2 linked regions of the Oreochromis niloticus genome follow. The protein of the gene in region 2 binds, or shares a complex with, the protein of the main gene of each other region. Links are inferred from orthologs where the notes say so. Each region holds a gene or a part of one and is shown on either strand. Other genes may lie near its edges.

Region 1 (16,650 bases), on a different chromosome or scaffold from region 2:
CTTTAGCCTGTACACAGCCAGGCTGCATGGGCTAAAACAGTCTCTGGTTAGACTCCTTTGAGCTCCCTCCCCAGGCCTGGCTCCAGGGTGGGGCCCTCATAATCACTATAGCTACTGTACATTATCTCTTACACTTTAAAGTATTATTAAAATAAATTATTATTATTATTATCATTAGCTGTATAAAGTGAAACATTAAGACTGCAGCTTTGACATTTCTGATGTGTACCTGGAGTAGGTGCTGAACCAAACTTCACTGAGTCGTGCTCCTGGCTGCCTCTAGATGGTGCATCTGTGAAGGAACTGCTGGTGATTGAGAAGGAGGGCTTTTCATCGGTGCTCATACACTCCTCCTGGGGCTCTGTCTGGCTCCTGTGGTTCTGATGGCCACTGTGGGGCCATATCGTGGGGGCAGTGGGGCAGTTCTGTTGAGCACATGCATTTACAGAGCTCTCGGGTTCCTTCTTAACCATTTCTGTTCCTATGTGGTTCACCAGTGCAGAGGCAGAAGCTGAGTCTGATGGCGTTTTCCCAGGCTTCAGTCTGTTCTGTAGCTCAGCCTGCCTGCAGGAATCTGAGGCACTGTTACAGTCTACAGGTCCATTGGCTCTGGGAGGCTGAACCAATTCCAGAGGTCCATTAGGTTTCCTACAGTTCTGACATGGTGTCACGGTGCATTTGCAAAGAACTAGCCCTGATGGGCTGTCCTTGGAAAGAGAGGCCCCCTGGGAGTCACTGGGTGTACTGCAAGCTTTAGAGCAGGCATCAGGGGAAGAAGTCCTTTCTAATGAGGCCTGAGTTTTCATGTCCTCTGATGGTCCACTTGATTGTGTATTTGCTTTCTGTTCAAAGTCCCACTCTGTTGATGAGGCCTTCTGTTTGATGGATAGGTGTCGCATGATACTGCACTGGAGAGCGATGACATCCTGAAGCCACTGTTCAACACAACACATGTATGTTATTATAAAGAAGCAACCAGCAGGTCTGTTGAGAGGCCCTCCTCTTCATCAAGAATTCATTTATATCACTCGAACAAACAGATACCAGAATTTGTCTTTTGCTGCAATTTTCAATTAATTACTCAAAGCTCTACAGTCTACACAGTCTGTGAAACAAAACAGACTTTTTAATGCAACTGTTGCAATGTGAAGGTTTGGAAGTGTAGTGAAGCAGTTGGTTCAGCTTTCACAACTTCTGAAACTGAATTTTCTGTTATTTTCTGATAAACACAGTACACAGGATGTGTCAGTGTTTCATTTATCTACACCAAAAATCTAACTCTCAAAAAACTTCTTGTCCAAACTCTCTTCATAGTAATCCAAAATGAAAAGGAAAGCGATCAATCATCTTTAAACTACACTCCTATTAATCTCACATTCGATTACATCAGATGATACAGATTTTAGCACACAGAAGCCTGCTTCAGGGAACTATCATTACAATCGGACTTAAAGAACATGTTAGGCAGCTGCTGGTTTCTCTTGTGCCTACCTCCTGCTGCTCAGCCTCTGTGGTGAAATGCTTTGTGGGCTGATGGTCAGGAATGCCACTGCAGACCAGCTCCAGCTGGCGCACCCCTGCAGGAAGCAGCATGGGCGGAGGATTCTGGTACTGGGACTTGATGGCATCTGGCACCTGAATAAAAACACTGATTGTTAGAGACAATCTAACACTTTCTAGCAAATTAGCCACTATGTTCAGATGTTTCTAAGAATAGCATCTAACTCACAAAGGTCAGTTCACATACAAGTGCACAACTGCTTAAATTTATGGCTGTCAGTATCTAGGTATTACTGTCTTAGTGAAACAGATATATTATTAAAGTCATCAATTTCCTAGATCTCCACCTGTGTTCCAGTGGCCAAGAAAAAAGGATTATATGAAATCCAACACACTGCACCGTCACACTGAGACACAGGTCTACCTTGATGGTTTTCTTGTTGCGCTGGTGAGTGGTGCGCCGGTTTGGAGCATTCTGCCGATGTACTCTACGCAGGAAGTCCAACTTAACTGCGTGCTGGGACATCCTGTCCTGGAACTGATCGAAGAGCTGACAGCGGCTGGACAGGCTGAGGCTCCTCTGATTCAGCTGCACAGCAAACAAACATTTGAGATAAAACAGAAAAATATATTAATAAAAATTTATGTCAATAAAAGGAAAAGGAAAGCAGCTTTAGCTTAGAATCAGCACAGCGCATCTTACTACTAAGTGCTCGACATGGTTTGGACACATCCATTTGCCGGCAGGTAAAGCTGTGAGTGGAGGGTCCAGACAGTCCATGTGGAACAGGAGGGGACAGTAATCGCACTGGATCAGCGGAGCCAACCTGCAACTCCTGAGAGACCAAATAAATAGAATTAGTACCTGCTGTCATCGCTTCGGGGCTTCGTCTACTTCTTTGCACTGTGCTCCAGAACTCCTGACCTGTTGCATGAAAAGCAGATTTTGACTGGCAAAGGGACTAGACCATTGGGATCCAGTTCATGCTGAGGCCTCCTGAATGGCTTTCCAAGCAGCTCTTCTTTTTTCCTCCGTTTACTGCTGCCTAGAAATCCAAACAAAAGAGCAACATTTAAGAAACGGCCCAAACTGCATATATAAAGAGGTATTTTAAACTTAGGGCGCTGAATGAAATCATATTTTGTTAGTCATTATGACTGACTGACCTGGTAGTGCAGTGGTGCAGGTGAGCTCACTCGGCAGCTGAAATTGAGTGGGGTTTCTCTCCATAGCAGCCGCTATTAGGAGCTGAAAGGGCCTCTTGAGGAGTCGCGGTGTCGGAGCAGAAACTGTAGAACTCTCGAGCTCTGCACCCTGAACTTCATCCTCAGGCTCTGCTGCCTCCTCCTCTCCATCGTTCTGCTCCTCTGAGGGGGTTGGGGTGGATGAAGTGTTGGAATTTGGAGTCCCAGGTCGGCTGCTTGGCCTGCTGCTGGTTCTGCGGTCCAACAATCGTACCTGGGCCACTCGTAGACCAGGGCCTGCAGCTCCAGCCCCTGGAGGTAGACCATCAAGCCGCAGCGGGCCAGCGTTGAGCTCCAGCTCCACGGCCGGAGAAGCGCACCGCTTGGAGGAGGATTTCTCTGGCAGGCCGTTGGTCTGTTCAGACTTCTGTTCTCTTTTCTGTACATATTCGCACACAAAACCCAAACACTGATTTAAAACACCATCTCTTGACCCTGCTGTCTTAGCTAGTTAGAGGCCAATCTCCAACCTTCCTTTTATCTCAAAATTGTTGAAAAAATAATTTTAAAAAAGCTAACAGATCATCTGCAGGGGAATGGCTTATTTGAACACTTTCAGTCAGATTTCAGACCAATCACAGCACAGAAACAGCTTTAGTGAAGGTTACGCATGATCTTCTTATGGCCTCTGACAGTGGACTCATCTCTGTGCTTGTCTTGCTAGACCTCAGTGCAACGTTGAATACTGTTGACCATAATATTTCATTAAAGCGATTAGAGCATGCTGTAGGTATTTACTTCTGCAGTGGTTTGTATTACGGCTGCCACGATTTGTCGGCTAGTCACAATTACGTCGACGATCGTCGACGACTAATTTAATAGTCGACGCGTCGTTTGAAGCTTTGTAAGATCCCGAAAGACGCTGGAATAAGTAGTAGGATTTAAGAGTGTAATAACGGACTGAAACAGAAGATGGCAGCACTGCATGTACAAGGATGCCAGCTGCCGTTAAACCCTGAAGAAGAAGAAGCAGTCCTGGCACATTGTTTTCAGATCCCCGCTGTCTTTCGCTACTCAGGTTAAACACGATATATAAGTCACTTTGATAACTTTAAAATGTTATTGTTTGGCTTTTTTCAGTGTTTGATTTGTTCCTGAGTAAATCGGTTTGCCTGAGATTAAAGTTTTTTCACACAGCTGAATAAACATCAAACAGAAAACGGATTAAACAAAAGTGTGAGATGGTAGAATTTACTCCAATGTCCTGTTATACTTTAGATAGCAAGGAGCAGACGGCTGAGTTTATTAAACTCCACTGAGACAATCTGCAAATTTCATTAAAAGTTTAATAAACTATCATCTTGTCTTTATTTTTAGTTAGCGCATACCTTAAACACTTCAAGCTGTAAGATAATGATAGTTTATATGAGAGCAGACGCATGCTGGTGCAATAAGCTGTACGTTTTACGTGCAGTGGATGCATGATCTGATTAGTCAACTAATCGCAAAAATTATCGGTGACTAGTCGACTATCAAAATAATCGTTTGTGGCAGCCCTAGTTTGTATCATATCTATCTAATAGACTCCAATTTGTTCGTGTAAATGGAGAGTCCTCTTCACACACTAAGGTTAATTATGGATATGCTAGGACCAATTCTGTTTATATTTTAAATGCTTCCCTTAGGTAGTATCATCAGAAGGCACAGCATACATTTGCACTACTATGCAGAGGACACCCAACTTTATTTATTCAGAAAGCCAGATAACACACACACCAATTAGTTAAACTGCAGGAATGTCTTAAAGACATAAAGACCTGGATGGCCGCTAACTTTCTGCTTCTAAATTCAGATCAAACTGAGGTTATTGTACTTGGCTCTGAAAATCTTAGAAATATGGTATCTAAGCAGATTCTTACTCTGGATGGCATTACCTTGGCCTCCAGTAACACTGTGAGGAACCCTGGAGTCATTTTTGACCAGGACCTTCAATGCACATATTAAACAAATATCTAGGACTGACTTCGTCCAATTCTAATCTTTGCGTAATATTTCTAAAATAAGAAATATCCTGTCTCAGAGTGGCGCTGATAAACTACTTCATGCATTTATTACTTCTAGGCTGGACTATTGTAATTCATTATTATCGGGATTGTCCAAAAACTCCCTGAAAAGCCTTCAATTAATCCAAAATACTGCAGCAAGAGTACTGACAGGGACAAGAAAGAGAGAGCAGATTTCTCCTATATTGGCTTCCCTCCATTGGCTCCCTGTTAAATCCAGAATTGAATTCAAAATCCTGCTCCTCACATACAGCATATGTAAAAGCATATAGTTAGGGCTGGATCAGTTGACCCTCAATACTCCCTTAGTTATGCTGCAATAGGTGTAGACTGCTGGGGTAGTATTTTTTCTTCAGTCACCTTTCTCACTCACTATGTGTCGCGGCAGATGGCCACCCCTCCCTCAGCCTTGTTGTGCTGGAGGTTTCTTCCTGTTAAAAGGGAGTTTTTCCTTCCCACTGTTGCCAAAGTGCTTGCTGATAGGGGGTCAAATGATTGTTGAGTTTTTCTCTGTATGTATTATTGTAGGGTAAAATATTATTGTGATTTGGCGCTGTATAAATAAAATTGAATTGGTCCAATTTATCAGTACATAGAACACACTCTTCGGGATACATTTCAAAAGCAGAATGAATCAAATGTGTAACAGAACATCTGTCACTCACCTTCTTCCGAACATTGCAGCGATGACACATCCATTCCCCTGGAGGAAGCATTTCTTCACTCAGAGGTGGGTTGCTGTCGTAAGAAGACAGAAATTAAATATTTAATAACAGAAAATGAATCATAATTTCTAATTCCCATTTCATTCAAATGAAAAACTGATTTGATCCCATTGTTTTGGCATCAAAACAAAAGTCTAGTTTCTTCTGTCTCCATCTGGTGGGCCAATGGCTGCATTACAATAAAAACATCCATACAGTGCAAAATAATGGCAGTTTTCAATGTTATACTTTCATTACAGTAGCTGACACATTCATTAATAATCAATTGTTCCCAATGTTTTACACTACATACTGCCCACATTCAAGAAGACTTCGTCAGATCCACCTCATTTCACCTTATCATTTTTTAAAATTATGTCTGGTTAACTGTTACCTTGGTATTTCCATCACTCATCTGCTACTTACAACCACCATTCGTTTAACAGTTATTCATAAAATTACACTTAGTGACCAAACTGAACCATCTATCCATTATGCTTTGTTACTCCTTTCTTTTTAACTTGCATTTTTAACCATGGTGGTGCAGTGATTAGCACCGTTGCCTCACAGCAAGGAGATCCTTAGTTTGATTCTACCACCTGGCCAGGCCTTTCTGTGTGGAGTTTGCATGTTCTCCCCATGTTCGCGTGGGTTCTCTCTGGGTACTCCGTCTTCCTCCCACAGTCCAAAGACATGCAGTTAGCAAGGTTGGGTAAATTGATGATTCTAAATTGCCCATAGGTGTGAATTTGAGTGTGAATGGTTGTTCGTCTCTACGTGTTCGCCGTGCGACAGACTGGCCAACTGTCCAGGGTGTACTCTGCCTCTCGCCCTATGGTAGCTGTCATAGGCTTCAGCTCCCCTAGCGACCCTGACGAGGATAAGTGGAAGAGAATGGCTGGATGGATGCATACCATTAGTTTGCTTGTAGTAAGCGTATTTAACTACTTTTTCTTTTGATTCATTATTATTTGTCTATTTTAACAATTTATTCATTTCTATTGGCTGTTTGTTTCTATAGTTTCTAGTCAACTTTAAACTTCTTTTTTCCCCCTGATGCATCTGGTATATGAATTCATAATTGCAGAATTTAACATTAAAATTAACTGGACTTAAGACATACAATACATATCCAGTAAAATGACAACAATAATAAATTTCTCCACAGATTTAAAAAAATGAAAAAAGTTTTTTTAATGATGCTTTTGTGTTTGAAGTGGTCACATGTGAGATGCACTGTGCATGGGACAACTGAACTGTCACGCCATGTAACACTGTCTTTTACATTATAGACATTAGAGCAGCAAAATTCATGAATACATATTCAAAATCTGAAGGCGTCCACACGTTTGGCTATATATGTACAGACGGGTTTTATACGGTTTTCAGGTGACAGTCTGTAAAAGTAGTAATACAGAAAAAATGAGACGGGTATTTATTTATCGCTGTGGCACCGAAAATACCTCAACAAACGCTGTTATACCCGTCCAAAAAAACTGCGGAATATTTCGTCCGTATTATTAATGCACCCCTTTTCCATCAGAGTTGATTTTAAAGGTTTGTAAGATGGCGGTGGAAGAAGGGGGGAAAGAGCAGCGAGGTCGCCATATTGTAAACAGAGGCTACATTTTTACCAGCAGCTCCGCTGGTTGCAGCCTCGGCAGGAGGGGAGGACCGACTGCAAGCTAATTCTAGCCTCTTGCAGACACGACATATTTAAGCATTTATTTTAACTCCTGTATGTTATAATTTCATTAGCGACGCGTGAAAATAAGTTTGCTATACACTTTCAAACTCTATAAAGTCCAAAAGTCAGTATATAAGATAGACGACTGGTATAACGGTGCACAGTCCTCCCAGAGCAAGAAAACATTCTGGTCTGTTACTTAAATTATCAGTTGCTATCTTAGATCACCAAACGTCTTTTAATTAACTTCAACTGCTTTATTTCCTGAGATTCTGAAAACGTCTGCAAGTAAATTCGACATGCAAGCAGTTTCCAGGGAAAATGGGAGTTAATAATAAACCTTACAGAGGGCAACACAGCGGCTTCAAGCCGGCCTCCATGGTTAACGTGAACGGAGAACACAGCGGGAATTTCGGAAGAACAATTGATGGTTAAAGTTGACTTTTCATTGATATAAGCGTGAGCTTTTGTAGCGAAAAAACTATGAGGCAAAATGAAATCATTTAACAGATTATTTCTTTACACATTTCAAATCATGTGTCTACGGGAATCGGAACCACCGAGAAACGGTAACCGAGGACAATCACTTGAGTTAGCATTCAGCCATCTTACACATATAACTGACGGGGACTCTTAGTTGTTTCCGCTTGTTTCATCAATTCTCTACGTGTTTTTTAGTCAAATAACTTACCAGCACTGGAGATGGAAAGCTGCAGGACAGTGGTCACAACACAGCAAGTCTCCCCCTTCCCTGCAACTATCGCAGGTGTCGTGGTTAGTCGCCCTGCCGCTCCTCCGGACGTCCCTCACCAGTTTCCGACTCCGTTTCTCTACCTCTTCTGACTTCGGGGGCGCCAGCAGTGTTTGAATTTGCTGAAAAAGTTGTTCAGCTGTTTAGTGCGACATCGCGGCTGTCCTTTGCTTGTCTAGTGTCCGCTGTGACGTTTATAGAGAGCGGTAACAGTAATTTGTGGCCTCCGTTACCAAGCCGAATTAGCTAGCTAAGCGCTTGACAGCGGGCTATAGTGATGATGACAGCTGCGATTCAAATTTGGTAAAATATATTAAAGTGCTAGCAACAGAGGAATGTTTCGCTTAATTAAGGCCTTAGACATAGCAGCCTTACCTCCATTAAGCCCCCAGAGGTATCCAAATCGTACACAATCGTTGGGGTCTCCATTTTGTCCCACATTCATCCAGAAACAGACTTTGCAAAAGGAATTTGCGAACCAAGTGCCTCGGTGCTCACAATAACCACGATAAATCCTGTAAGAAATTACTTCCCGAATGATTTCGGTGAGAGGATGTCTGGTAAATCGACGTTAGCTATCGTTAGCTGCCCAAAGGAGCTAGCTAGGCAAACGTCAACCAGTCAAGGTTGTGAAGCTAGCGGTCTCACTAGCTGCCGTAGTTGGCCATAAAAAGGTAACAAAAATGACGTCTAACTATGTAGTTAAAATACTGATTCCTTAGCACCACTTTTTATGTGTAAGTGCCACGAAAACATACAGAATTTTCTAACAGTAGACTACTGCTCTTAGCTACACAATCCATCTGCGGCCTAGCTGGCCAGCCATGATTCTTGTTTCTGCTCCTGCAAAAAGGAGCGCTGTAAATCTGCAAAGCCCCCCGCTCCCATTGTCAAAACAAAATGTAACCAAACAATCCAGGAGAAAACTAGGTGTAGTACGGCCCAAAACCTGGTTTCCGACAGCGTCCGGAATGTATAATCCTCAAATCAAGTATGTGGAAATGCAAATTTGGTTGATGTTATTGTTGTGAAAAGGCTGTGCATCTATACTGGCTGCTAGCAACATCCTTACAGTTGGCGCAACCGCGCACACCGGACACGCATGCGTATTGGAACGGATATAGATAATTTCGGATACACTATAACGAACCGGTAAAACATTATCTACACGGTGTTTTTGACTGGAACTGACGTTTTGAAGTTATTTTTTTTGCTATGACTTTCCCTGTAGATTACCTTATAGCACTACTCATTACTATTGTGCACACGTACTTGTGCTGCTACCGCGAGTAGCATTAACTGCTCCTTGCTTCAATTGCTTTATTGTTTGTTTATGAACACTACTCATGCAATTTGCACTTCTGCTACAATAGCGTTTCAGCTGCTCAAATTACCATCTTAATTCTTCTTCCGCTTGCTCAACATGTAGTCTATTTCAACATGTAGTCTATGTAGACAGCAAGTCCATCCATCCATTCTCTTCCGCTTATCCTTATCGCGGGGTGGCTGGAGCCTATCCCAGCTGGATGACGGCAAGTCAGTTATTCTAACAGAAATGTTCAATTCAGATCAATTTAGTTTTAATTATATAGCACCAAATCACACCAGCTGTCACTGTCATCAAAGCGCTTAGTTATCCTTCTACCAATCAGACTTTTCTGACAGAGGGCATTGTCTATTTTGCAGTCAAAGTCCTCACTGGATTAGTCTGCTGAAGTCTGAAACACATTCTTTAATTAAGAGAGGACCAGACTGTGCAAAGTGAAACGCTGAAGTAATGCACAGATCACTAGAAAACAAAGACATCCAAAACATTAACAAATCAATAATCCACCTCTATATTCTCTTAAACCAAAGATTTATTTAAGAATTTATGAAGCCCTAATTCCCGTATTTTCCATCTAGCACATAAATAATGTAATTTCTCACTTAAATACAATTTGTATTTATAGCAGGTTTATCGGGTTTTTGTTAACCAGATCACACCAACTATAGAGTCTGACCAGATCTCGAAACACCAAATGTAGGGTAAACAATATGTGTGTGTGACACCTTACTAATGCTGAGAGGTGATGAAAACTAAATCTGGAAACAAAAAACAATGCTAGTTAACAGTTTGGCATCAGTTATGTGAAGGACAAATATACTGCCATTTATGTGAATGAAAATTTCCAAACTTAAAATAGAAGGTATGATCTCTTTTTTTGTGGAACCATGTCTATCATATTAAGTATTAAAGTATTAAGTATTAAAACTGTTTAAATATACTTTAGCAGCCAAACTGTCTGTTTCAGTTTTAATAGCAATTAATCCATAGGTCAGCACATGGACTGATTCTTGGTAAATGGACTGATTGCTATGCAGCACTTTTCTGCTCTTGCAGAGCACTTATAGCACATCAGTTTTGAGCCACACTTTTTCATCTTGGTGTTCTCTATTGCAAACTAGAGCACATTAAAATGTGGGGCATTGCATCAATACATGGGACTGGTAGACAAGGAATAAAAATGCTGTGCAGGCCCACTTAAAGTAGGCGCATGATCACCACATCCACAGCAAGTAAAGGTCCTGCATTTAAGTCTCAGTAAAATAGAAGTATTTAGATATTAAGGTAAAGATAGATTTAGATCATTTATCCCAGAACTGGGAAATTCTTGTGTTACAGTAGTTGATGTTTGACTTAAATCAAACAAACCTAAATAACTTAAATAAGTAGAGTGGTGTCCAGCTTAATAAAATCTTAACAATTAACAGCAATAATAACTAGTCGAAAATAAAATTAGGCACAATAAAGTAAAATAAGTATAACTTTAATTAGTAAAAATGTCCATTCATTCATTAATTTTCTGCTGTTTATTCAGGTTCATGTTGCAAGAGCAGCAGTCTAAGCAGAGAAGCCCAGATTTTCCTCACAACAACCACTTCTTCCATCCGGGGTGTCTCCCCTCATCCGGGGAATACTGAGACATTCCAGGCCTGCAGAGATGTGTGATCTCTCCACTGAGTCCACTGCCCAGAATACCTCACCTATAGGAAGTGTCCAGGAGGCATCCTAGTCAGATGCCCAAACCACCTCAATTGGCTTCTTTAGAATTTTCCTTTCAAAACAAAAGCAACAACAAAAGAAGAACATTAAAACTGGCTAGCTAATTGTTGGTCTTCTACTTCACCGTGTTGTCAGTGTGGGCACCCAGGTACTTGTACTTCTCCACCACATTAAAATCCTGGATAGGCACAGGCTGTAGTTGTTTTCTTCCTTCTGTAGTTGATGATCTCTGGTCTTACTCAGAGATGATTTCTTCCAGACGACTCCACAAAATCATCCTCCTGCTCCTGTCCATCACATATACATCCAATCACCGTAGAACTGTCAGAGTAGTTCTTTGACCCAGAGTTGTACCGAAAGCCTGAGATGCACAAGTTGAACAGGAATGATGAAGGTGGCACTCTATGTTGTGCATATCTTGCCAATACCCGGTGACACTGGGCAGTTATCAGAAAATTGCATGTTAGTACTCATTGTGCAGAAAAATGTTTCTTTTCATATCTAATGTATTTAAATTGATATTACTGCAAAATTAATGTGCATGTTGCATTATATTTAACTTAGATTGTTTACTCTAGAGCTATGCATCATATTCTATATGGTAATGTAGCATTATTCTGCTCTAAGAATCATATATATTTAAAAAGTTCAGTAAGCTCATACTTTTGCCTTCAACTCTTTGACATTTTCTAGCAAATCTAAGAAGGGCTTTTTTTATATATATATATCTTAAGAAAATTGGAAAAATTGTATGTTCATAACCAGTAAAACAGCACTTGTTCATTAAGTGCACTGTAGGAAATAAATAAAGCTGTGAGAAAAGAAATGGAGCAGAATACAATGGCAATATTTACCTCTGAAACATGTGGAGAGATTGTTGCAGAAAAAGTAGCTCAAAATTGTAAAATACTTGAGTCAACGTACCTTGTGGAGAAGTGTCTGAGCAATTTAGAATCACTTAACCTAGCACCGTGTGTGTGTGTATATAAATATGGGTATATGTAAAATAGGTAGATTGATAGGTGTAAATGTTAGTGCGACTGGTTGTGTTGCCCATCTCTTTGTGTTAGCACTGTAACAGACCTGCACACTGTCTTGTCTCTTGGGATTTGTAGCAACAATGGATGTGCTAATTGAGACAAAGTTCTAATTAGTCCTTTATCCTAAACTTGTACTTTTGATACCTGTTTTTTTTCTAATTCTTGATTTCCTTTTTTGTTTTCTTCAGTTGTGTGGTTCATTACCCATATTGGCTGTTTTTTTAATGGGGCTGATTCTAAAACCTAAAAATGGTTGCCTTGGAGAGGGGAAATGTTTGCAATTTTAATGTATAGTGGACAGAATTACCATGAATGATGGGTAATTGCTAACCCTCGCCAGCAGAGGGAGGCACTGCTCAGTTGTATTTGAGTAGCTGGCAAAATACTGGTAGTTAGCTAATGTGATTTTGTGCACAGAGATATATGACATTGCATTTTAGAAATGTAGTCCCGTGTTCCAGTAATGTTACTAGCCATCACATGTTATACACATGTCCAGCATGACCACTCACCAGGTTACAGTTTATTGAACATTTTAGTGCATATGTTAATATGTACATTAATATGTAGTACAAGAATGTTGAAAATGAAAAATCTTTTTTACAAAATGAATTTTCAGTTAATATTTTTTAAAGCTGAGTCTTTTTTAAAATCTACATATTTTGATCACATTTGTAAAAGCCCTTAAAAAATATTTAGTTGCTGACTTTAAGTCATTTTTCTGATGAAGGAGACTTGTAAGGTTGTAATTATGAAGTATTATATTGTGATAAATGTATCCTGTTGTGCTAAATCACTAAATTACTGTGTTTATTTTAAGATATTTTTGAGAGTATTGTATTTTAACAGTATTAGAGTAAGAGAATTTCTAAGGGTTTAAAAAAAATTGCACACATATATTTTCCTCTCTCTATATGGTAAATGGCCTGTATTTATATAGCGCTTTTATGGTCCCTAAGGACCCCAAAGCGCTTTACATATCCAGTCATTCACCCACACATTCACACACTGGTGATGGCAAGCTACGTTGTAGCCACAACCACCCTGGGGCGCACTGACAGAGGCGAGGCTGCCGGACACTCGCGCCACCGGGCCCTCTGACCACCACCAGTAGGCAACGGGTGAAGTGTCTTGCCCAAGGACACAACGACCGAGACTGTCCGAGCCGGGGCTCGAACCGGCAACCTTCCAATTACAAGGCGAACTCCCAACTCTTGAGCCACAATCGCCCCTATATATAGGGTTGTGATTCCTTAAGGAATGTAATATATTTAAATGAAAATCAAAACATATTTTTTATACTTGGAGAAGATACTTTACTTTTCCAGGTTTGAAAAGAGAAGCCAAAGTGGAAATACCTGAAATCTGCTTTCTCTTTTTTTTTAAAAGGCCAGGAGAGAGCAACCCCTGTGGCTGGAAAAAGACTCCAGATTTTCTATGGGAAAACAGCCCTGGGCTCCCTAGTTGTTTGAGCTTAGTAAACATGAGTTATGGCTACATGCATGTTTTATATTTTATCTATGGTCCAAGTTTCAGTCAGCTGATAATACCAAGAATTCGGACTCTTGGTCAGGCTCATCCAGGCTTTTGGGGATTGGTGTGACACTTATTATTTTTTGCTGCTAGAACTGGTAAATGCCTCTCTATTCTTAATTCCTCCTACAAAAGGATAATTTGCTAGGTTGTTTCTCCAGCTGTGGAAAGGTCCATGTGCAAGATACCTAAATGTCCTAAATTGCTAAAGTAATCAGAGATATGCACACTGAGCAAAGCCTCGGAACTAGACTGATAAAGTAATCTCCTGCTCCATTGCACCAACTATGCTCTGTGTGTCAGCCAGTGTGGGTGTTTACATGCACATAAATAATCAGATCCACCCATCAACCCATCCATCTGCCCACTGTTGTAGGGTATAATCCTGGACAAGTCACCAGTGTGTCTCAGGGCTAACAGAGGAAGACAACCATTTACATCAGAATCAGCTTTATTGACCAAGTATGTGTACACATAAAAAAAAATGGGTTCTGACTATTTCTTTGCTATTGACAGACAATACTGACAACAAGATATCAACATGACAACATGACAGACAACATGACAATAATAATGTATTTATTTATTTATTATTTATTTATATTTCTTTCTTTCTGGTGCAGAGTACAAAGATGTTGGACCGAATTATGGAATAAATAAGGGATGGATAACTAGTATAACATGCATGTTTTCGGACTGCGGGATGAAATAATGTAACTGTGATGAATGACCATTAAGCAGCAAGGCTACAATCATTGCAAGAATAGTCAGGCTTTAGTACAGCCTGTTTTTTTGTAAGTTTTGTGGCACACTAGTGGCCTCTTCCAGCAGCACAGCAAACAAAAACCTACACTAACTGGGTAATTGTGCTGATGATCTATACTATGGACTGGGTAATATGTTAGGACTGAAAGGATGAAAAAAAGACCTATAGAGGGCTGAAAAAAATGATTTGCCAGAATAATTTGCTGAAATTTCTCTGTTGCAACTCAAAGTGGTACTTGGTAGTTTGTATACAAATGTGAAGTGCAACCTTGTGGTGTCAGATGGACCAAAACATAACATCCCAGAGTTCTACTGAATTTAAGTCAGGCCGACGCAGGGACCAGTCAGTGGCATTAATTCCTTCATACTCCAGGACCTGTCTGCATACTACTGCCACATTAGGCATAAAAGAACTGTGCAGACATGAAACCGGCAATTATTTGAGCTCCAGCTGGGGGCTTACCCGTTGAGACAGGGGAAACCAGAGTATGTGTTTGTGTGTACTGTCTTCTGGTTTGCGGGTTACGGCTGCATCCATCCCATGTGAGTATGGCAGTTCATATGGGTGATAAATGTGTGGGACACGGCATCTCTATGTCTCTGTAGCACGGAAATGGTAGATGTATGCTGTGTTTGGGCTACCAACATGCTATGCTGGCCAGGGAAGCTCCACAATCTTGCATAGACTGTTTCATATTGCCAAATTTTTGAGATGATGGGCAGGGCATCCAGGGCTCTGGATATTGCCTTCCCTGAGAACCCTGTGGCAGTGGCCTCCAGGTTTGAAGACATCACACAGCCACGGTGCTCTCAGCTGCAGGTGCTACTGCTGCCTGATTTTAAGGACCTGGTGTGCAGGCAGTTTGATGCCCCGGCTGCTTTGTACAGGTGGTCCATCGCCTGCAGAAAGTCCTCTAGCATGCATGAAAGAGCAGGTCATCACCACAAGTAGTGCCTTGGCCTCATCTGGGTGGTGCGGCAGCATCTCTGACTGTTTCAGTCACAGCTCCAGTGGGACAACCAGGAATGTCTAAAGAGGCTGCCTGTTGACCCCGCAGCCATGTTCTGCACACAGAACATGGCTCACACGCTCGAGACAGTTGCTGTGTTGCTCAGGAGTTGTCAAGGGGCCTGCTCAGGCGCTCTGCAAGTGCATGGATGCCCAGGGTTGCTGCGCCCCAGCCTGCTCCTGATGCAGCATGGGGCCCTGGGGATACCAGGCCTCAGCTGGCAGCTTTGCGTAGACATAGCACCAACATGTAGGGGAAACAGACAGGACGTGCAGCCAAGGCTCGACTGTCCTCCAGCCATCCCCCTCCATCTTGACCTTTCCGGAGGGCAGACCGGCCAGCCCCCTTCCCTGTCTGCCTTGTTGGTTGGTCGTTGATCCAGGGCTACCACCTGCAGTTCTTCCACAGACACCCCCTCCATCACAACCATTCTGACCTTTACGTTAGTGAGCAACTCCCAGCAGGCCCAGATAATGCAGGAAGAACTCTCGGCCCTCCTGGAGAAAGATGGGATACAGAGGTGGATGCTGGGGACTGCCAAGCTGGGTTCCCTTCCCGCTCTTTTTTGGTTCCCAAGCGGGGAGGGGTGTTTCCCCGATGTTGGATCTCAGGGGCCTCAACTGCTATCTTTGTCCCCTGATATACAAAATGCTGATGGTCCCCAAGGTGAAGCAGGCCATCAATGTTGGGGACTGGTTTGCTACCATTGACCTGAAGGTCACTTACTGGGTGTTTGAGTTTTCCCCTTCGGCATCTCTCTTGCACTCTGGACCTTCACGTGATGCATGGATGCTGTCCTTGCCTCTATGAGGATACAGGGCCACAGGGTCTTTAACTACTTACACGACTGGCTGGTCTGCACCACATCAGAACAACAGTCCTGCAGTCATGTAGCTTAGCTCATGTACATGTTCAGGCTCTGGGCTTGCGCCTGAATCTCAAGAAGAGCAAGCTACAGCCTTCCCAGGCCCTATGTCTGGACATAGGGCCTCTGTGTCCCTCACTGCAGAGCGACGCTAGACCTTCAGGGGATGCCTAGAGCACTTCAGACTTCACTAGTGGGTCAGCTGGGGCCTATACTTCTGCCTCATGGGCCTTATGGATACCATGGTGCAGGTGGTCCCATTGGCTTTCCTGCACATGAGACCAGTCCAGCAACGCCTGCTAAGCCTGGGTCTGTGCCCGCAGTGGTCCAATCAGCCAACAGTAGTGGTCTCTCGAGGACTCAACCAAGGTCTCCGTTGATGGAGGGACTCCTCCAACCTGGAGCAGGGCTAGGTGGTGGGTCTGGTGACTCACCGTCAGTTATTCTCCACACGCCTCTCCAGTAGGTTTGGGTGCAATACGCGAGGGCTGTGGTATCAAG
Region 2 (16,561 bases):
TGACTTGTTGTACTCTTTAGGCCATGTCTCCAGACGGTGAGGCGATTGTGACGGGAGCTGGAGACGAGACGTTACGCTTCTGGAACGTTTTCAATAAAACGCGCTCGACAAAGGTGAGAACGCATTAACAACAACCCCCCCCGCCCATTTTAATACCTGCTGAAAACATTAACCAAGTTTCTTCATTTTTTTGTTTCAGGAATCTGTATCAGTTTTAAATCTCTTTAAGAAGATACGGTGACTTCAAGCACCTTTTTAAAAAGAAATAAAATCCTGCCATCATCGGCGGATAGCTCATCCGCCTGGTGCTAAAGACATACAGTACAATCAGAGGCTTATTGTGAGTGTTCTTTTCACAAAGGGAATGACGGCAACACCTAGCTTTATTTTTTTAAATTGTGTGAAAAATTCTTTTGCACCTGCTGTGAATGTATTATTTTTATTATATGCTTAAAAAATGTAAAAGTGGGTGTTTTTTGTTTTATTTAAACTTTTGTCAGTATACAAAACTAGAAATCACAAGCCTTAAGAATATTGATATCATCTGAAATGTGTTTTGTTTACCTCATCTTTAATTTATTTAACATACTTATTATACAACAGACATTCAGAGACTTATTTTTACACCATTTCTCATAGGATGGAAGTTTGGAGTGATTTAATGACATGTTATACTATGAGTAAATTAAAAAAAAACAAACAAACAAAAAAAACCAAGCACCATGATTATTGTGACCTTTGGACTGTGGTTGAGAGGAGGTGACTGAATACAAAAAAGTCTAATGCTGTGCATTTAGACGTCTGCTGAATTGCTGATTATTTGCAGTAAAACAAATAAAAGAGCCACTTTCTGACTTTGTGTATATTTATTTATTTCACAACTTGTACAGCATGGATGGAAAACCCGCTAATGCATTCAGAATTGTTATAATTTCTTTGCGGCATAAATTGAACAAGCTACTGGAAACATTCCTCAGAGATTCTGGTAAACTTGTTGCAGTGTTTAAGAAAAAACAGTTTTAGATCATTCGAGTTTTGTGATGTGGCACGTTATCCTCCCCAGAAGCAACCATCAGAAGATGAGTACACTGTGGTCATAAGGGAATATGGTCAGCAGCAGAACTCAGGTAGGCTGTCGCATTTAAGTGATGCTCAGCTGATACTTCTGGATCCGGTGTGCCGAGATGATATTCCTCACACCATCACACCATCATCAACCAGCCTGAACCACTCGCGCAGGGCAGGGTGATGCCATGCTTTCATGTTGTTTGCATCAAACTGGCTTTACCGTGTGAATGTGAAAGCAAAAATTAAGCCTGATCAGACCGGACAAAGTTTTACCAAGCTTTTGTTGTTCACGTTTGATGAGCCAGTATGAATTAAAGCCTCAATTTCTTGTTCCTGGCTGATGGGCACATAGTATGGTCTTCTGCTGCTGTAGCTCATCTGCATTCAAAGGTGCTCTTCTGCATCCCTTGGGTGAAACGAGTTGTATTCCCTTGACCTCTAACATCAACACGGCAAATTCAAAGTCACTTAAATCGCCTTTCATCTCCATTCTGATGCTTGGTTTGAACTTCAGCAGGTTGTCATGAGCATGTATATATGCCAAATATCCCTGATTAGATGCCATGTGATTAGCACATTAGATTCTTGGGTTAAACAGTGCAATAAATAACATGACAAACAACATCTTTTAAATCATCTCCACATTTAAAAATAAAAAAATGAATATTGGCTTCTGGATCATTACATGATTTTCATCATGTGAGATATTTGTGTAAAATCAAAGCTAAGGCACAGTCTGTGCTGATGACAGCAAATGGCTGTAGTTGTGATTGCTCTCCAAGCCAGCAGGTGGCGGTACTTCTCCTTTTCCTCTTCCTCTGTGGTCGTTAATCGGAAATGCTGTTGACAGGCGGGAACTTGAAAGTTTGAGTAGGTTTAGGTTAAAAAATATTCCCGTGTGAGCACCGTAACCTGTTTTTATTGAATTAAAGAGGCATCTTTCGTGGGAGCACGGTAAGTTGGAGGGACATCTGTGAATTACGTGCACTCATTAAGCTAACTACGCTGGCTGATGATAATAGTCTCCTGTTGTTGTTTCTCGCTTTAGCTGTAGCTCGTTACCAGCTGTTATTTGTCAGGATGGCAGACAGAAATCTTGTTCAGGACTTGAAACGCTGGGCGACAGAGGAGTTTGGGCTGTCCCCGGACAGACTGCCTAATGACAGCTATTTTAAAACGTAGGTATCTACACTTATGTTACCTGTCATCAATGTTATTACCTAACTTTTTAGCCTTGAACTAATGTTGATTGTTTTCCAGACTCTGTGTTGGGACGGGGAAGTCGATATGGAAATATGTCATCCAGCATGTTTTCCAGCAAAGGTGAGACTTTGTTCTCGCTTGCTTTTTGTTTTTGTTTTTAAACCTTTTGATCACTAAATTATAACTAGAACACGGCTCATTTCCTGTCCTCAAACATTTACTCAGGACTCTGGTTCATTACAAAAGAAAAAACATTTGCATGAATGGCCTGTTTTCTAAAATAAACTGCAATCTCTGACTGATTTCTGTCTTTTTAGGAATGTGAGGATCATGCGTGGCAATCTTCAGTGGTATCCTTTTTGGTCTTGACTTGATCTGCAAAGCTTCCAGCTTCTTTCCAACAGACTTTCTTTGTTTTGTTTTCTTTGCCTTTCTTTGTTATTTATTTGCTCTGTTATCCTTGACATTGTTATTAGGTATAAATCGCTTCAAGACAAAGAGGTAGGCTGCAACTTATTTCTTTTCCCCAGCAGTTGTAATTTAGTTTAATTGTTAGTGATTGCACTTCACAAAGGGGAGTTTCTGTAAAAGCTATGTTTGTGTTTACTGGTGTGCGGTCTTGTCAGGCTGAGGGCCAGAGTGAGGCTGCAAAGCGTAAAGATCTCCAGAAGAAGATAGAGCAGCTGAAAGAAGAGATTAGTCACCTGGACTCTCAGATGAGCGTTACAGAGGAGCAGATGGCCACACAAGGTTAGTCCAACATATGTACTGTGGGCTGGACTTCCAGCCATCCCTCCATAATTTTCCTCCAGTCAGGGTTGTGAGGGGACTGGAGCCTATCCTGCTGAGTGACACGCAGTGCACATTAGACACTAACACAAAGACCGTGCATGTCTTTGGACTTGGCAGGACTCATTTGGGAATAACTGTGTTAACACAGTTTTGTTTTAAAACACCTATGAATTTGATGTGTTGTCACTACTTTGATTAGAGGCAAACATGTCTGATGTTGTGTATATGGTTTCTTTAAAAATGTACTGAGTTGCACCTTGTGATTGTTTTCTTATATAAAGATAAAATAATTAAAGTTAAAATGAGAGAAGTTCTGAAAAAATATCTTTTTCACACATTTCACATGGTGACAAGTTCAGCTCAAATATATTAGTTATACCACAAAGGGCTGAAAAGGTTTTTGTCTACTATTTTGCCATTTGCGTTTAATAGCTGCATTTTCTGCTGTGATTACACAGACAACTCTATCAGTCGAACCTGGGCCCAGGTGGAAGACGGCCAACGCAGAGAGCTGCTGCTTCAGGCTTTCAGGCAGCGCTGCATCTCAAGCCGCAAATATCTTTCTGATGATGTGCAACAGATCAGTGTGCACTGCCAGGCTCTGGAACAGATGGCCAGGTAAGGCAGAACATTTACTAATACATTTTAAGTGAAAAAGAGACGCAATACCTTTTACACATTTTTCTTTTTGTGTGTGTGTTTATTGCAGAAAAGCAGAAATTGAAGTGCTGTTTGATAAATCTTCTTGCAACAGAGACAATGACAACCTCAATGTCAAAGTGGCAACAGAGGCACAAGTTCTGGTAAAACATGCCCGAATCTGTGTTTTACTTAAGTTTAAAATTTAGAATGTTTATCAGACAGAAATAGCAAATACAGCCGCTTTGGAGGCTCTGTGTATAGCCGCTCTGTGTGTTTTCTATCCATCAGACAGACATTCAGACTTGGGGCCAATTTATAGTTACCAGTTAACCCAACATTACTTCACCTAACCTTACCTAATGTATGCTGGGAGAAATTTTAACATTCGCACAAATCTGGAATTAGTTGCTTACCGAGGCAACTGTAGCATATCAGCTGCTGACTTCATGAAATCATTCATTACCTTTGTTTTCTTTCTTTAGCGTGATGTGAGAGAGCTGTGTGACGACAGGGTCCACTTCTATCAGTCTTTACAAGAGTGTGAATCGAAAACACAGCACTCTGCAGCCACACAGTAAGGACCACAGACTGTACTCGATTTAAGTTATTCAGCTTTTAAAATGTATTTATTTTTGTGTTTGTTTGTTTTCCCTGTAGTATGACCCGTGAGCAGAGGACTGCTGTATTCCAGTACTGGCTGAGTGCTGTTGAGGTTGGTGTGTTTGTGTCTGATTTTACAAAATATTTTTGTATTTGTGTTAACATTGTCTTTAATTTTGACTTTGCATTAATATGCTGTTGCTTGTTGTGTCACCAGAACATGTTGGGTGCTTACCCTCCAAACCATGTTCTATCAGCGCTGCTGTATTTGGCTTCAAGAGAGCAGAAGGTATTGGAGGAGAAACTGTCGTCTCTGGACGTGACACGGGATGTAACAGCTCTGCAGTAAGGCAGTGATTGGGATCTTTCATTTCACGTCATGCTTCAAGATTTCCGATTTTCAGTGTAATGCATTTTTAAAATTTATTTGTTTTTTGGCATGCAGGTTCCGCTATGAAAGCGACCACCTTCTGGATATGTCAGCAGAAGAGGAAAATGAGTTACCACCAGTTAAAACCCTCTTAGAGGTGCGGTCACATTGCAGTATACCAACAGAAACGCAGATGAAACCATGTTCACACCCCCTGTTAACAGTTTACATATCAGGACATAATAAAAATAATCTGGTCCCTACCTGGTCTTAAAATGAGGTAAATACAAACGGAGACGAACAAGAGCACATGGCATATTAAACCATATCATTGTTGATTTAACAAAAACGAATCCAAAATGCAGAAACACTGTCAAAGGTTAAACACACCATATGATTCAATAGCTTGTAGAACTAAGCTTGTAGATACCAAGGGTATCATGAATAATCTTTCTCACTGTAGGATAATTGACTTTAAATTGTTTGGGAAGGGACTTATAAACCCTCATGGGTAGCAACAGTGGTGGCACATATTTGAACCGCAAAGTGCCAAAAGTTCTGCTTCTATAGTGGTGCTCACATTTGCTGATGATCAGTTAATGAAATATGCAGAAGCAGTAAGGGTGGACTTATTTTTCACACATTATGTCCTGATACATAAAATCGTGATCAAACCATGATCATCTCTTTCTTTTTCCTGGAATCTGCGATTGGTAACTTTTTATGCATGGACCCGCATGTGATTGTTGCTGCAGGCTGCGTGGGAAGAAGTGGAGCAGAGCTTGGTGGAACTGGCCCAGACTCGCTCCAGAGTCCAGCAGCTCAAAAACCAGCTGCAAACCCGTAAGAAGGACGCTGAGCTCGAGGTGTCCAGTATTAGAGATGAGCTCCAGGATGATTCCTTGGCACTGTAAGTTCATTCCAATTCAATCTCTGCCTTTGCCATGCATTTTGTTATTTTTTTTTTTGCAGTACTGCAACTTGGGAGTTGGGTTTCTGTGAGGGGGGAAAAAAAGGTCCAACAAACAGCCACTGTTATTGTTGTTTTTATCTGAACGATACAATTTTTCTGTTGTCAACTCAGTTTTAAACTTTGTATTTGCATCCTGTTTGAAAACAGCTATGTGAGTTCATTTTAATTAGTGGTAATATCTTTAGAGGCAATAATTTTGTCTTGTCTTCTACTTGTGCTTTTTATTTTCCTTGCGCTCTGAACTCTTAGATCAGCTCTTGAGGTGGAACTACAGTGTGTGATGCAGGCAGCTGCCAGGGATTATATCAGAGACCGCTGCATCCAACTTGACCAACATGCCCAAAGTCGACAGGAGGCGCTAAGAAGCCTTCGCAGCCAGTGGCAGAGCATACTGGACTTCAGACAACTAGTGGTGAGAGTTGACAGACAGTATTTTTGGATGAAATATTTTCTACATGTATTATATACTGTAGATCTTTGGTCTAGATGTCTTATGTTTGCTAGGTGTGAGAAGACTGACTTTTCGTCAGCATTTGTTACATCATAAAAATAATCATGTTCTGCTTTCTTGTCTTTACAGCTTCTCAGACAAGAGCAGATCAGAGGTCTGATTAAGGGGAACTCGACAGCAAAGACGCAGCTGATTCATCTTCACAGAGAGGTCAGGATCAATGACAGTGAAATATGTTTGATGAGAGGCTTCAGTCTGGGGTGAAAAACGAGAGTGACTAAAATTTAATTCTTATGTTTTTTTGTAGCACTCTGAGGATTTTAATCTTTGCGTTTTGTCTCAGTTAGAGGAATTCATCCAGGCAAAACTAATGCCACAATTTGAAGATGTGACCGCTGCAGCCAACAGTCTAAGGAACGCTGTGTCTAAGGAGGCCAGACAGATGGGAGCAGTTTCACTTCTTTCACTGGACCGCAGAACTATCGAAGGGTATGAGCATGTTGCTTGGTATCCCTATATTTGCCTCATTGGTGGTACATCTGTGGCCCCAGCTGCAGTGAATCAAAACAAAAACATATTTAATTGTTGTCCTTGTCCAGGGGTGACATTCACTGACCAGAAATATAATTCCATTTTGTTTTGTTTAGTATGCAACGAATTCCTGCATCATGGTTGTCCATCCATCGCTTGCAGTCCCCGACCTTCAGCAGCTTGTGTCAGAGTCTGGCATTCCCTCTGTACAAGGTGATTTTTGGCATATAGTGTGTAAAGTGTTGCAGTTTTACTGTTTTCTCTTTGATTCTGCTCACTCTCACAGTCATGTTTTGCTACGGTTGCAATCTGTTTATAATGATATGGTGATTAATTAGCGAAAATTGCAAATCTGTGTCCCTCCCTTACCATCTAAATACCACAGAAATTCATTTAATTACTTGCATTAAGAGCCCAGCCAGAACCTCATAGGTTTAAAACAAATTCTTTCACAAATGGGGACGTAGTTACTGCAGGTCAGCAGTTTATTGCAAATCGACAGGCAGTTAGAGTCTTCTCTTACAAATGAACGCTCTGCAGACGAGCTCTTCTCTTCAGCTGACTCCGAATGATTGCATCATTCAGGCAGACTGTCTGTGTTTGTAAATTAGACTGATTATTTGCAGACAACCTTTGCAGTCGCCTTGTGATTGAAGGTGGTCGCCAGAGTTTGAGAGTGTTGCATGCTCAAACTCAGGGCGTCCAGCTGGAGTCGGTTGCTTAACGCTAAAAAAAATTAAATGCAGTCACCGGGCAACCACTTCATTCTTCCTTCCTTCCTTTGCTGAAAGGAGGTTACTATGATGATCTTACTTTAGTGTGACTGAGTCATTTGCTTCAGTAAAAGTAGATGTCAGTCAGTGGAGCATTGTTCTGAACTGGTGACATCATGATTTTTGTGTTGTATTATTTTAAAATATTCAACTTGTAATTTCAGTCACTAAAACAGTTTATTCAGTCATGCTGCCTGGGTAATGGCCTCCAAAGAAATCTTCTAAAGGGACTTTGTGACCGTCTCACTATCCTAACATCACTTGTGTTTTCCTGTGGCTCTTTCTCAAATGATTTTCTACAAAATCAGTGTTTGCAGCCAACTCTTAAATGTGCCCTAAGTGATTGTAACGGACTGTCATTGATCGATGCTGAACCCCTCACAACCAGAGATGACAAAAATTGCATCTTTGAAAGCCAGTTTCACTGAGCAGAAGGAAAATAGAGTTACATATACCAAAGCTGCTGGGAGGTGTCCTTTTTCACTTTTTTATTTTTCCTCATATATTGCATACTAGTAACTTTTTTGACTTTCTCTGACTTTCACACCCAACTTCAGGCTCCGGAGGAGTTGTGTTCCCGATCTCGCTCACAACAGCTTGAGCTGCGTTTTCTCCGTCAGTTACTTCAGCTTCACTCTGCCACTCTGCAGAAGATAAAGAAGGAAGCGGATCAGCTGGAGGCATCTGATCAAAAAGGTAACCAGGAGAACTTATCAAGAGAGAAGCGTTTGCTTTAAACACAAATGAGGGCAGTGTTTGGTGTACACGTACTTAATATGTTAGGAAATTTCCACAAAAAATAAAATGCTCGGTGGATTTTTAGTAACATACTGCTGTCTGTCTGCACTCTTAGCTCTCCTGTCCAGAGTCATGGAGGAGGACCAAAAGCTTCTCAAGTCTTTGGTACCAAGAGTCAGAGGGCTCACTCACCGCTGTGCACAGGGCCTTTCTTATGGGGACCAAGTCAAAACTGCCATCTCTTATTGGTGAGACACAGTTCTTAAATCGATGACCTGTTATTATTATTATTTTAATTGCTGCTTAATCGAGATTTCTCCTTTCTAATCTGGGTGTATTTTTACAAATTGAGATCTGGGAATTACCTAGAGTGACACAGTTACCTGAACAACATCTGCAAGTGAATGGATGAGTTATCACTAAAAAAGCATGTTTTAAACACTCATTAGAACTACTTCCTGGTTTAACCTTTAGACAATACTAAGATTATTCGTGCACACTTTTGTATGTGTTTTTTCTTTCCAAATGTAAGTGATTTAGGCAGTTTTAATGATCTTTCATTGATTGTCTGACGAGGCTTTTGTTGCTGGAGTCCATTATGAAGAGATAAATGTACTTGCCATTTTTAACTGGTTACCATAATGTGATGGATAAATTACACCTGGTCAGTGATTCTGATTATTACTGACTGACTGACATCTCATTATTCCAGAGTGAATATACAGTCTTGGACTAAAACCTTTTTTTACTGGTGATCTTCTAGATTTTAGATTTTTTTGTAGAAAATGTAGAAGCTTAATCCAGGTACAGAAACTGGCTGATAGTGGTTTAATTCATCTAATTATAGTTTTGCAGCTCAATCTATTTAAAAAAAAAGAAAAGAAAAAAGACCAGCTTTCTTAATTCATTGGTAGTAAACTAAGTCTTAAACCTTACTGTTAACTTGCCTATCTACACACAGGTGATTACACCATTTGTAAATGACTTCATGGCTTGAATTTAACCCTGCCAAAACATTCATGCCAGTACATCTATCTGAGGCCAATATCTAACTGAATTTATTGGCTCTAATTATTTTCCATTCATGCCCTTGCTCAGTAGTCCAGCGTCTCATTCTCTGGTTAACTTCCCTGTTTTGTGTGTTGTAGGTGGGAAAGGCCAGCCCAGCATGTTCTTCCTGAGGTCAGTAAAGGAGGACTGACTTTTCAGCAGTGGTTACAAAGGTGGAAACTAGCAGCAAAGTCCCCATAGTTGAATACTATGATGGATTCCTTTCAGCACCTTTCAGTGGTAGAATGAACACTGTGTTGTAGATATTTAATGCACAAATGGTGTTTGTTTGTTTTTTCTCTCATTTGTCATCATTACTCCTAATGTCTTACCATGTGTAAATCAGTCACTAATAAACCCTTTTGAAGCGAAATATTTGTTCCTTTCTTCTTTGCGTCCTCATATCCATTGAAGTTGTTTAAAACTGCCTCTGGCTCCTGCGTTGGAAAACCAAGCTGAATCCATTGTGAATGCCCTCTGAATGAGCCGTAGGTGTCTATCAATAGCCCTGTATCGATCTTTCTCACAGTCGGCATTCGGTCCACCGTCGAGCTCGTATTCGTGGGCACCGTTGTGGAGTGTGCAACCATCCTTTGCATGGAGTAGCGCTGCTCCTTTGTAGCAGTGAAGGGGGAGTGGAGCAATCTGATTCTTGTGAACTCAGCTCCTCCCATCGCTGCGACTGCGCAGTTCAATTTTTCACTTTTTTTAATTTTTTTAATTTTTTTTTTCACTCCTACTCTGGCTTCCGGACGCCAAGACAGAGCGCTGCCGCCGAATTTAAAGAGACAGGCTTTAGTTTTTTTTAAATACGAAAAACGGTAACCATTGTCTCTGGGCTTATTTTCCGATACTTCTCGCCTGGGCTCGTTTAATTCGATGGTGATGTTTCATCAAAGTCACCGAGAGTAGCAGGTTGTCTGTCATCAACCTTCATTCTGCTGGATTTCCCGTCCTTTTTTTTTTTTTTTTTTTTTTGCCTCTGTACCTAGACTGTCCAGCTAGGCAGAGTAGGGTTGCTTGCTGGCAGGCTGGCTTCCCGACCGAGAGCAAGGTTTGTCGGCTAGCCAACAACTGGAGGTAACGCCGAAGCTTCCCTCAAGTTGTGGTAGCGGCTCTCGAGCCTCCTGTCGCCGGGATAATGGCGAAGATTCAGGCGCACAGCACCGCGAAGCAAATAAACCAAATTCAAGACAAGCCTTACGTTATAACACAAAAGCAAGTGCAGCAGCAGCACTTCCAGAAGCTGAAGGTAAGGAGACAACGGACATGACAAGGGAAAAGTGGCTGAGAGTCAGAACCATTTTGTTCGTCGGATCATTGCATTGGATTTGAGGCTTTTTTTTTCTCTTTCTCTCTACTGTCGTCGAGAGTAGTGAAAGGAACGGCTGGCTAACGTTAGTTAGCTCGCTGGCCTATTAAAAGTAATTCATTGCTAAACAGCCTAACGTTGACATTTAATGTTGGATTTAGAAGCTGTGTTTCGTTTAGTGTATGTGCGAGTGACAGTGGAGTGGCACAGTTAGTGGTACTTTCTCATTTGCCATATCAATAAGTGCTTCTGTGAGCAAACGTTAACTCAGACCTCGTTTGTGGGAAGTTCCTCCTTGTTCGTTTTTTCAGCCACCCCGAACAAAGTGGAGGACGTCAGCCAGGCTAGCCAAGAACGGCTATTTCACTTCATTAGCAGCTTCAGTACACGTTTCTTTGTTATAGTAGTGTTTTAATATGTCGTACTGTTTTTGCCAACGCGACACTGTTGGCCGGGGACCAGCTGTGACTAAACATATTGTATAAATTTGTATGCGGGTAGGTGTTGCAAGTGTTGGTGGAGTTATTATCGTCAGTCGACTGGCTAAACGTTAGCTACAACAACCCTCTTTAAGATGTGGACTATTTGTGACAATGGCTTGTGTGAAGACATTTTTTCCCCCTTTAGCGCAACCTAAACTAGCCTAGCTGTGGTAGCGAAAGAAAGCAGTGGAGTAATGAACAAAAGCTGCCTGGTGTCTCTTGTGTATGCCCAGTTATTTATTTATTTTAGCGTTAGTTGTACAGCTTGTACTGCTAACCAGAGGATTTGTTGATGTTGCACTTTGGCTGATAGTGAAGAAATCGGTCAGCATTCACGTAACTTCACGTATGCAGCACTGAGACAAATCTGTACGATGGGGCTACCTGTAATTTCATAGTACAAATCGCAAATAAATGCATTTATTAATAAATGCAAAACGTAGCATTTGAAATCTGTAAACAAGCTTTGTAGCTGTAAAATTATCTACCGTGAGCACCATGACTGGATGCTGGGGAAAATGCTGCTCCATACATCCAGCTGAGGCTGTCTGTGCTTTGCTCTGTACTGATTTTTCCTTCTTCTTCTCCATGTTTAGGTTGAAGATGCCTTGTCATATCTGGACCAAGTCAAAATTCGTTTTGCGAATGACCCTGGGATATATAACAAGTTTCTCGACATCATGAAGGAGTTCAAGTCGCAGAGGTATCATTGGGCATTTATGCAAACAAACCACAAGTAACTACTATACAGGGGCACACAGGGAACACAGGGAACACACTGATTTCTGTTGTGCAGTTTTTAAGGGAGGTGGTCCAGATCCACTTTAAAATACAGTGGGATCTTCATTTCCCCATACGCCACCAAGTGTTATGAAATTCAGCTTAATGGTTTTTGTATAATCTTGTGACCAACTGGCAGCTGTACCTCTGCTAAGGTGAAAACCAGAAGTAATAGGAGTTCTAGTAATGCATTCTTAATGACATACATTCCCATACATATTCTTTAGATGGTGATTGTGCTGCTTGTGTATGGAGTTTCATTACGTTGTGCAGTTTAATCCTTGACTAGTTCTGTTTCACAATCTGGAGTTTATCAGTGCATATGATACTGCACATAGCTTCTTACTATAATTATGCGACAGGTATTATTATCTTGAAATTAAACGAGGACTAAAAGCATTTCCTCTTTGCTTCTTTTTCTTTAAAGCTAACTTGTATAGCGCTTATTAATAACTTGTTTTCTGTTTGTGCTTTGTGGTGTTTGAGAGAAGTACTTAATCAGTGTTTCTCAACCAAACTTCTAAAGTATCCGTATGTCTTCTGAAATAGCATCGACACACCGGGAGTGATAAACCGTGTATCACAACTGTTTCATGGACACCCAGACCTCGTCTTGGGCTTCAATGCCTTCTTGCCACCGGGGTATCGGATAGAGGTCCCTAAGAATGGGATGGCTTTCCTTCAGTCTCCTTTCTCTGCACAGGTAAGATACTCTTTTTAAAGAAAAACATGCTTTCTGCTTTACTGATATCTGAATACAATGTACAGCAGGGTATGCTGACGGCATTATATGTTTAAGACCACAGAACATCTTAGGAGGAAACAGGTGTGCTTCTACTGCCCTGAACTTCAGCTGAATGATCTGCCTGAAAAAGCCCTCACGAAGGTTTCACTACAAAATGTGACAGCAGATTTGTCTGTCTGGTAGTTGAACAAAATTTCAGCTGGAGTTCTGCTTCTTCCTGTGCATGTTTGGCTGAAACAAGCACTTAAATCCCATCACAAAGAGCCAAATATATACAAGTTGTATATAAAAAGAATTTCAGAGATTAGGAATCTATGTTAGACTTTAAAAGAATTTTACGGTCTGATACAAAAATAACTACACTGAGGAATTTGTAATGATTTCACTCGGTGGCATTCAAAACCTATTTGGTCCGTGTCAGATTGAGTTAAACTTTTATATGTTTAAGCTCTTTCAGTTTCTGTGTACAATTTTATTATTTTAAAGTAAAAGCTGGGAACTAACTTCCAGTGATGTTTTGTTCTGAGAGATGGATCGTGCTTAGGTAGTGGATGGCAAGATAATGGGATTTGGGCAATCTTAGGTGTAATGTTAGTGTGACTTGGGATTTGCATCAGAACTACTTTCCTTTAATACTGAATTTAGATTACAAACACATTTATATAAACATCCAGTGACAGTCTGCATGATGCATGCTTTTCTTTTCTAAAACCTATGCAAGTTTAGGTAAGCTTTTTCTGTTAAATAATTTTTTTATATTTAGTGTTTTATGTTTACTGTGTACCTTTTGTCTACAATTACAATTGTTATTGTGTTATATAGAGTTTATACACTGCTAAGGGAGGGATTTAAAACAAACCCACAGAGCCAACGTATGTTTGAATGTTTAATATAAAGCACATTAAAGCTGGTGCTCCTGCACCAGCATATACAAACAGATATTTCTCCCCAAGTAGTAAATAAACGGTCTTTTTCTTAATGCATCTCTCGTGTGCAGGTATCCCCAAGCCCACAGGGGAAGAGTCCCGTCGCTCCTGCTGTTGCTGCGACCTCGGGTAGTGCCTCTTCCTCTCACTCTGAAGTGGGACCTGCCCAGACCAGTGAAGTCAAGGTGGCCACAACAGAGCCCCTGTCTTCGTCAGCAGCAGGACCTCCAGAGCCTCCCAGCAGACTTTCTCTTCCCCTGACCAGCAGAGAGAGCCAAAATCCAGCAGCCACCTCATCTGTGTCCCCGCCTGCCTCAGAGACGAGCCCCGTAGAATTTGATAGCGCCATCAGCTATGTCAACAAGATTAAAAACCGTTTCCTGGACCATCCAGAGATCTATAGAGCCTTCCTAGAAATTCTTCACACATATCAGGTACTGTAGAAGTAAGGCCATTAATACTGCATATTCATAGCATAAAAGGTGTAGGATTTTTATTTGCAGTTTCTGAGTTTTGTTTTTATTTTGTGTGTGTGTGTGTCCTATATCTATCTCTCCACCCCAACAACATTTCAGAAGGAACAGCTGGAGGTGAAGGAGAGTCGAGGCAGTCGAGGCAGCAGTGGGATGACAGAAGATGAGGTGTTTTCTAAAGTTGCCAGTCTCTTCAAGGGACAAGAAGACCTGCTGGCTGAGTTTGGACAATTCTTGCCCGATGCCAAGAGATCACTGGTGAGTTGAGCAGCAGTAGATGGATATTTCTGATGTTCCACTTTGGAAGCAGATGAAAATCTGCACAGTTTGAACAGAAACAATTTGCAGTTGGGCATGAAAGCAACATTTCTCATTTCCAGTTATTTTAACACAGTTTACAACAGTGACATTTTGTATATTTACTGCTCTGAAACGCCATCATGATAATATTCGCATATTCACAGTGAAGTGCCGCTTTTGAACAGCTGAATATATAACTTGTCAAAAACGTTTTTCTGTCAGTCGGTTCCCAAAGTCCCAAGAAGTACAACTGAGCTTTTTTTGTCCATGTGCCTCCTCTTCTGTAGTTCACAGGCAGTTCGCTCACCGGGGGGAAAGAGCAGCTGAAAAGGACAGAAGAAGAGGACATGATAACCAAACAGAACAAAAAGAGACCGAGGCCCATACTTCTCCAGCATATGTCCCCACTGCTCAAGGTAGGTTCTTCGCTCTTCAGCGGGTCAGTGAAAGAGACAAAAGCTGTGCATTATGAGCAAAAACAATAGGTCTGTTATATGCTAATTTTTTATGATTGTTTCTGCAACTTCATCATCTTGTGAAATAAGGTGTAAAATTTTGACGTATTCACGATTAATTAAAGAGAGAGAGAGAGATGGAGCTTTGAAAGAAACCATTCTTGTTACAGACACTACAGAACATCTGTTACCATTGTGGACTTTATATTTTATTTTATACTTTTTATTTATTTTTATTTTATTTTACTTTGGTAAATTTTCATATACAGATAAATAAGTATGTGTTAAGTAACACAGTAACAGTTTAATTGAAAACAACTTACTGAGTATCAGGTTTTTAAATCTGCAACATTATTGAGTCATTTCAATAAGTTAATGTGTTGCATGTAAGCAACATGATGTATGCCATTTACTGGACACTATGGACACTACAGCCTGCAACATACTGGACAAAATGTGTCTCAGAAACCTGTAACATAATTACCGAGTATTTGCATTCCTTTACTTCATTTCATCAGCACCAACTCATTTGCTAGAAAATAATTTTGTGTTGCACAAACAAACTTGTTTCTTTAAAAGTTTCAACAGCTGTTTGGGATTTTCCAAAAGCAGTCACAGACACTTTGATAATTAAAGTTTGTGATGTTCAGATTTTATTCTTTTCTTTATTTAGAAAAAAATGAAGTATTCCTGTACCAAAGATCAGTCCTTTGCTTCGGTTGGCAAACATGGAGTCTTAAGAGAATTTTCCTTCTTTGATAAGGTGAGGGATTATTCTTCTGGCCTGTAATTCTGGATTTTATTTATTTAATTTTTTATACTAAATTTTTAATCCCATAATGTTTCCTCTTTTTTTTTTTTTTTTTTTAAACAGAAACTTTTTTTAAAGTGATTGAGCGAATTTTATTGTCAACCCAACTGTCGTTTAGGTTCGTCGCCTGTTTAAAAGCCAGGAAGTATATGAGAACTTCCTGCGCTGCATCGCCTTGTTTAACCAAGAAGTTGTTTCAGGAGCTGAGCTGCTACAGCTTGTTACTCCTTTCTTGGGGTGAGTGGATGGAAAGAATTTTGAGATGGATAAAAAGAGACAAACTAATGTGGAAATGGTTTGTGATGCTAATATCCAGCGTTAGTGCAGCAAAGGGCAACAAATATTAAGACATTGTTTGTTTTTTTTGTTTTCAGATAGGACATTCAGGTCAACTTTACAAATTTGAAAGTTATCTCTAAATGGTCGTCACATGGCTTTTTATACTAGCCGAGAATACCAGATGTACTTCAATTATCTGTCATTAATAATTTTGTCCATATCCTTGCAGGAAGTTTCCTGAACTGTACACACAGTTCAAGTCATTTCTCGGGGACAAAGAGCTCTCTCATGCTGTGTCAGGGCTGTCGGATCGTTACATGGAGGGAGGAGGGGGCAGGGAGGTGGATTATGCCTCCTGCAAGCGCCTGGGGTCCAGCTATAGAGCACTGCCCAAGACCTACCAGCAGCCTAAATGCAGTGGGCGCACGGCCTTATGCAAGGAGGTATATCTACTTAGATTTTACCAAACAAAAATCACTGCATCATTTCATTGCTTAAAGTCATCTGTGTGCATTTTAGCCCCTTTCATCTGTTCCTTTATATTTGACAGCATCTTAACATGTTGGCTTGATGTCTGAATTTAAATGTTTATTTTCTTTCAACATAGCACAAGTTTGAACTGCATGCATAGAAACTGATGTATAGATACGCACAATATTATGATTCCTGTTATTTTTGCATGCCTCTTTTGTGCCTTTGTCCCTCGCTCAGCTCACCTAAGAATGTCATTGTTTTTGAGGACTCCCTAAACCTAACATAACATGAGGGGGTGGGCGAGGTTGCCACCTGAAGTTTCTGTCTCACACC

What was found.
Region 1: the proteins of sin3b (region 2) and PHD finger protein 12 are in contact, whole or in part, in a cryo-EM structure (PDB 8BPA), measured with the Homo sapiens proteins. The link is inferred for Oreochromis niloticus from reciprocal best matches to the Homo sapiens genes SIN3B and PHF12. Residues at the interface, in NP_056075.1 of Homo sapiens: Glu307, Phe311, Leu318, Glu322, Val323, Tyr324, Glu325, Asn326, Leu328, Arg329, Cys330, Ile331, Leu333, Phe334, Asn335, Glu343, Leu347, Pro350, Phe351, Lys354, Phe365, Lys395, Arg396, Glu490, Glu493, Leu494, Val497, Tyr545, Arg546, Ile547; in NP_001028733.1 of Homo sapiens: Leu20, Met21, Gln23, Ile24, Gln25, Leu27, Leu28, Pro30, Pro31, Lys32, Thr33, Asn264, Leu266, Val267, Leu269, Val271, Val273, Phe275, Thr276, Asn278, Arg279, Ser280, Arg282, Cys292, Pro293, Leu294, Pro316, Asn317, His318, Ile319.

Annotation. Positions count from the first base shown.
Region 1 is NC_031979.2:4,232,426-4,249,075, forward strand, and holds the start of PHD finger protein 12, read right to left. Parts: upstream 8,999-16,650; 5' UTR 8,332-8,998; coding exon 8,266-8,331; intron 8,013-8,265; coding exon 7,831-8,012; intron 5,487-7,830; coding exon 5,414-5,486; intron 3,125-5,413; coding exon 2,668-3,124; intron 2,547-2,667; coding exon 2,426-2,546; intron 2,337-2,425; coding exon 2,204-2,336; intron 2,090-2,203; coding exon 1,925-2,089; intron 1,636-1,924; coding exon 1,492-1,635; intron 936-1,491; coding exon 230-935; intron 1-229.
Region 2 is NC_031986.2:44,240,685-44,257,245, reverse strand, and holds the start of sin3b (paired amphipathic helix protein Sin3b), read left to right. Parts: upstream 1-10,044; 5' UTR 10,045-10,332; coding exon 10,333-10,443; intron 10,444-10,678; exon of another isoform or gene 10,679-10,994; coding exon of another isoform or gene 10,995-11,000; intron 11,001-11,581; coding exon 11,582-11,688; intron 11,689-12,314; coding exon 12,315-12,468; intron 12,469-13,507; coding exon 13,508-13,870; intron 13,871-14,011; coding exon 14,012-14,167; intron 14,168-14,496; coding exon 14,497-14,625; intron 14,626-15,337; coding exon 15,338-15,427; intron 15,428-15,593; coding exon 15,594-15,712; intron 15,713-15,983; coding exon 15,984-16,197; intron 16,198-16,561. Other genes in the region: fizzy-related protein homolog, read left to right, coding at 21-113, 200-241; haus5 (HAUS augmin-like complex subunit 5), read left to right, coding at 2,149-2,246, 2,329-2,391, 2,589-2,621, 2,748-2,772, 2,898-3,021, 3,522-3,681, 3,773-3,866, 4,188-4,279 and 11 more.